Linked DNA regions of Kluyveromyces lactis. The protein of the gene in region 2 interacts with the protein of the main gene of each other region in a pairwise test. Links are inferred from orthologs where the notes say so. Each region holds a gene or a part of one and is shown on either strand. Other genes may lie near its edges.

Evidence for each region. The genes of interacting proteins can lie anywhere in the genome.
Region 1: the proteins of SOP4 (region 2) and EMC5 interact in binary tests that used the Saccharomyces cerevisiae proteins (3 or more experiments, as listed by UniProt). The link is inferred for Kluyveromyces lactis from reciprocal best matches to the Saccharomyces cerevisiae genes SOP4 and EMC5.

The regions. Positions count from the first base shown.
Region 1 is NC_006042.1:2,571,130-2,573,537, forward strand, and holds EMC5 (Emc5p), read right to left. Parts: upstream 926-2,408; coding exon 515-925; downstream 1-514. Other genes in the region: anaphase promoting complex subunit CDC26, read left to right, coding at 26-367; cohesin subunit IRR1, read right to left, coding at 1,286-2,408. UniProt on the Saccharomyces cerevisiae protein: Part of the endoplasmic reticulum membrane protein complex (EMC) that enables the energy-independent insertion into endoplasmic reticulum membranes of newly synthesized membrane proteins.
Region 2 is NC_006038.1:665,351-668,110, reverse strand, and holds SOP4 (Sop4p), read right to left. Parts: upstream 1,223-2,760; coding exon 518-1,222; downstream 1-517. Other genes in the region: BPH1 (Bph1p), read right to left, coding at 1-248; KLLA0_B07623g (40S ribosomal protein uS11), read left to right, coding at 2,153-2,162. UniProt on the Saccharomyces cerevisiae protein: Involved in the export of PMA1, possibly through the monitoring or assisting of PMA1 folding and acquisition of competence to enter vesicles.

The DNA.
Region 1 (2,408 bases), on a different chromosome or scaffold from region 2:
AGAATCGGCATAAATACCAACCATTATGCTAAGGCGTGATCCTACAGTTTTATCCTTGACTTCCGATGATATTTCCGAGCTACAAGAACATTTAGAAGAGTACAAGCTCCAACGCGAGATACAGACGCAACATCAAGATCTTTTGAAATCATCTGCAAAAATGAGTAGATTAGCAGAGATAGAAGGCATTTCTAACCCAAGTGCGACACGGAATGATATTTTATCACACTCATTGCATAAGATGACGCCACCTCAGCGATATAAACAGTCTGCATCATCAGATCCTCGATTCATTGAACAAAATAGTACACAGAGTACACAGGATCCTCCAAATCCCTTTTACACGTACAATCACAATGATAACTGACGTCCTAATGTGATTGGTGAAGTGCCTATATTGGCTATCGGCCCTGTATCTACTCCCGTTAGTTATTATTGCAAAGTCATTATATTATGTAATTCCCCAGTACATATTATATATATGTATGCGTTTAAGTTACCAATCTTTATCAACTCACAAACTGCGATGAAGGTATTCTTTGAACAGTTTCCTCTTAGCATGGATGTCAACAAATGAAGGAAGGTAGTTTATTTCCCCATAAGGATCATTGTTTATCACTACATCTGTACTGGACGCCTTGTTCAATTCGATAGGTTTAAGATACTCATCTGTCTCAATTATTCGTTCCTCCCCACGAATACTAAGGTACTTAAGCTTGGATTGACTGATAAATGTACCCAAAATAAAGAATAATAACCCGCATAGTGCCTCCAATTTTACGTCATCTGGTAAACCTGGAGTTTTAGCGTCTGGGTTCTCTAGAATGATATGTTTCACAATCTGATGAAATTCATAGCTGGACACACCAGAATGAATAATCTGTATCCACGCTATAAAGTAGAATGATTTGGAAAGTATTGACATTGTTGATTCCAAGATAAAACGGTGAATAGTAGTATTTAAGTAAAGTAACAAAGCCTATTTATGTTAGATCTGTCCAGTTGAACCTTATACTACCTATATTTTGTTTGGTATTCTTGAATAACCTTTCCGTTTTTTTTTTTTTCTGAGTGTTATAGAGTTTCCGACAAGAGAAACTATCTAGGTAAAAAAGAGAGATAGCATGCAGTACTGACACACAGCCGCATGATTGAGGAGAGCTTAGGTTATCGATAGCCATGTAATAGGTTTTATGTATTATGTTTAACACAATTCACCAAAAAAAAAAATAAACTGATTTAAATGCACTCGCAGGAATTTCATTTCGTAGGATCCCCAATAAGATTAGATTGGTGATGAAACAATGGGGTCTGCAGGGTGCGGAGGCGAATGAACTGTTTCATCCTGAGTGAATTCCTCAATTGGTTCAAGAACTTCATCATATTGTTGGGGTACTGGTTCTTGGTTTAATTTGGCTGCAGGATGGCTCTCAGCGTTATTTTTCGGTTCATCTTCGAAAACCGTTTCGCTTACTACACTCTCAAATAATGGCCCTAATTTCTCTTGGTTTAACCCAATTCTTGTAGTTAAATCGCTATAGTTTAGAATTCCAAGTTTGATGAGGCCTTTCAATTTAATGGTATAGATACAAAGCTCCTTCTCTGGATCTCCATCAACATCGACTAAGTTGACAGCGCCATAATTTACATCTTCATCAGCCACTCGATCTAGAGTTATTCCCAAAAATTTTCCAAGACAACTCTCAAGGTAGAGGAAAACTTTGTGGCAAATACCAGTTAGATCTTCGTTAGAGATAACTGAATATTCTTGCCTTAACGCCCTTATCCAATCGGAATCCTTTTCTGACAAATCGAGCTCAAACATTTTGAATGCAATGATAATATCTAACAATGGAGAGAGTATTACATGAAGCACATGGAATTTCTTGTCGTGTTGTATTTCAGGGTTAGAATCGATCTTTGAAGAAAGATTCAGCAATTCGACTAATACCGTTCTAATTTGATTCAGCGTAGTATGTGAAACAGCTATAGGTTCTTCATTATTTTTGATAACATCTCTCCAAGTTGCTAAATTCCAAGTAACTATTGAGGTGAAAAGCTTAAAATCTAGGACAGATATGGCATCCGAATCAATCTTTGGTAGTAATTCACTCAACGGCTTCAAGAATTTTTCAACAATGTCATCCAAAAGCGTTTCTGAAATTTCAATTGCGAACTCCTTACCCAAAATTACAAGTTTGTTAACATATTGCAGATATAATGTTGTTATTGAATTATCAGATTTTATGTCAAATGATTCCATAAACTTCTTGAATGATAATGTCACGTTAATCAGACATGACTTCCAATAACCAGTTACCTCTGGTATTTGAAGGGATGCCAAATATGGAATTAAACTCTTATAGGTTTTAGTAATGGCATTTGCGTTGCTCAAAACCACTGGAGAG
Region 2 (2,760 bases):
TCCGATGACTGATGAGATAAAAGCTTCTCCCACTTCGATGTGTCATCATATACAAAATTCAATTCCGTTGGCTCGATGTTATTAAACCTCTGGCTTATTTCAAACGTTGTGTATGTATATAGCTCATCTTTAGAGGCTGTATTTTCGTAAGAATTGCAAATATCACATAAAATAGATATCAGATCAGAATCATCCTCTGGAACCAAGTTAAGCACCTGAGCTAATAATGTAACGTACTCCTGGATCATTATATTACAAACGTCATTCCCTAGTATAATATTTTCTTAGCAGAAATTCAACTAATCTATAAGTGAGTGAACGTATTTTGGGTTTTTTTCGCCCTTACTATGATAAGTGTTTGTTCGTTTGTTTCTCAAGCTGTTTCCCTAATTTCTTAGCTGTTTATTTTTTTCATAGATAAAGTACAAAAACTAGGAAAGTGTGCAAAAGATGAATAAGATTTGCAAGATATTCGTAACTTATACAAGTGTAATACATACACCATTCAACGAAAAAGCTATTTTGAAACATATTTTGCGTTCTCTCTATGCATCTTCTCTTGTCTCATAGCTTTAGCAGTCTCAGGATCGAACTTCTCCAACAAAATAGGGAACAAAACTAAAAATATCACTGTCACGACGCCTGCTAGCTTGAATTTTGATCTTAAAACACTGGCAATGGGACCACTCTCGAGGATTCCAGGATTTCTTATCTTTATATATTTTCTGTATGGTTGTTTGTTCATCGTTGTTATTGTTAAACGGTTTGCAGAATCCAAGGGTAATGGATTCAAAGTTTCGGGATATGTAATATCTGGAGATGGGAAATACTCTCTGCCAAATCTGTTCTCAAAGGCGCTGAGGTTAGGTTCCTGATCTTGCCCGTTACCTACAATTTGTATCAGTATTCTGTTGGGTTTCAAATTGAATTCATTGGAATGCGAATGTAATGTGAAGTATGTCGTCCTATTGATACCAGTGTCAATGGGAACATCGCTGAAGGTGAATTCACCATTGATATTCTCCAATTTTGATGACTGTGAATATGAATCCCATTCCGAGTCATCATTGGGATTCCGTATCCTGTACAGGTTAAAATAGGTTCTCGATATATCATGTCTCGAAACGTTCCTAACTTTCAAATCTAGTCTGCCCTTAATATCGAATGCAGCACCTGGGTTTACGAACTGCCAAACTAGAAAGCAAAAAAGTACAAAATTCATCCCCGATTCTTTGGAGGAGTAAACTAATTGCCATACGTTAGTTCAGTCTCAGAGTATAGTGTTTTTACCGTTATCATTAACTTCTTTATGCGTCTTAGTTACCATTCGAGATTCATTTCCAGAAGAAAGAATAGTTACTAATATTATTACCCGGATTTATCTGACTTTTGAACTTTTTCATTTTGTTCGTTCAAGAAAATTTAGTATAAAAGATGAGAATAAGATGCATTATTATAAACAATACTATACAGTAAGTTGAGATACGTCCGTTTTGATCAGGTCATAAGAAAGCGTACATTCCTCAGAACAGGTATTATTGTAGTGGATTTGTGACTCTCCAGACAATATCTTCTCTACAACCTGGTTCGAGATTAAAGCTTTCAGTTTGAAAATGGCTGTCAATGTTTAATGGAGTGATCTATACTGCGAAAGATGTTTCCAACATTGTTCGTCTAGGACCAATTACTCATATGCATACAGCCCGACATCTCATTCCCTCCTTATCCATCTAGTAAACGTTCAATAGATGATATATACAGAAACTTGCGCCGTATAGTTTTCTCTTTCTCTCTTGTTGACATAGGTTCGCCAATCTAACAACCGTGGAGTTCTACAGTAATTTCGGGACTGTCTAATTTCTGAAACACCCAGACATTGTTGAAGAGGGATGGCTTTCATTACTTTTCGAATTTCATTTATGTTAAGAATTTCCTAATTTGTCAAGATAGAATGTGGAAAATGAATGGCAGACACATTTTTGCCAGATCGTAGGTTTCAATATCCAAAGGTCAGCTTCAATTTTTCATAGTAACAAATTGTCAATGATTTTAATGAATTTATCATTTATTACATGTATAAGCTTGGATATATCAACATTAACTTTATTATTGTTTAAGCTTAGACCTCAGAGACCAGAAAAACATATCAAGAATGGCTAACGGTACGTGCGAGGGGTGGTATCCCGTTTAAAACCCTTTAGTTGTTCTTCAAGAAAGGATGGATAAAAACCATTGGAAAAAGTATGGATTACTCTGATAAGTGTATTCGTGTGTGATTTTGCGGAGTCGTGTCGATGTTAGTTATCTGTAATGGATTGTAACGTTAACACTTTCTTCAATCTCAATAGTGCTATCTCAAACAGTATTTTAGTGATGATGCAACGACAAGAAGGAGGAAGTACCCAAGTTGAGTAGGTGTTTCACCACAGAATCTCAGGTATTTTTCCTTACAGTCAAAGCAGGAAGCTTACGTTTGTAAAAGTGCTTGCACGACTCTTTCAGCCTGTAACAGAATCAGATAAATATCCGGATAATTCGATGATAATGAGGACATTATCACAAATGGGATTGATATGGAGCACTGAATAAAGGAGATATTTCTCTAACATCAAGTGTTCTATTACCTGCTCACTGGAGTCTGGGGATCAAAGCTCCCGTTCTAGCTATTTTAGAAGCTCACTGATCAAAGCGGATATACGAACACCACACATGACTTATATGGCAGATATGCATTCATTCTTAAAGAAGACTAAAGGAAGG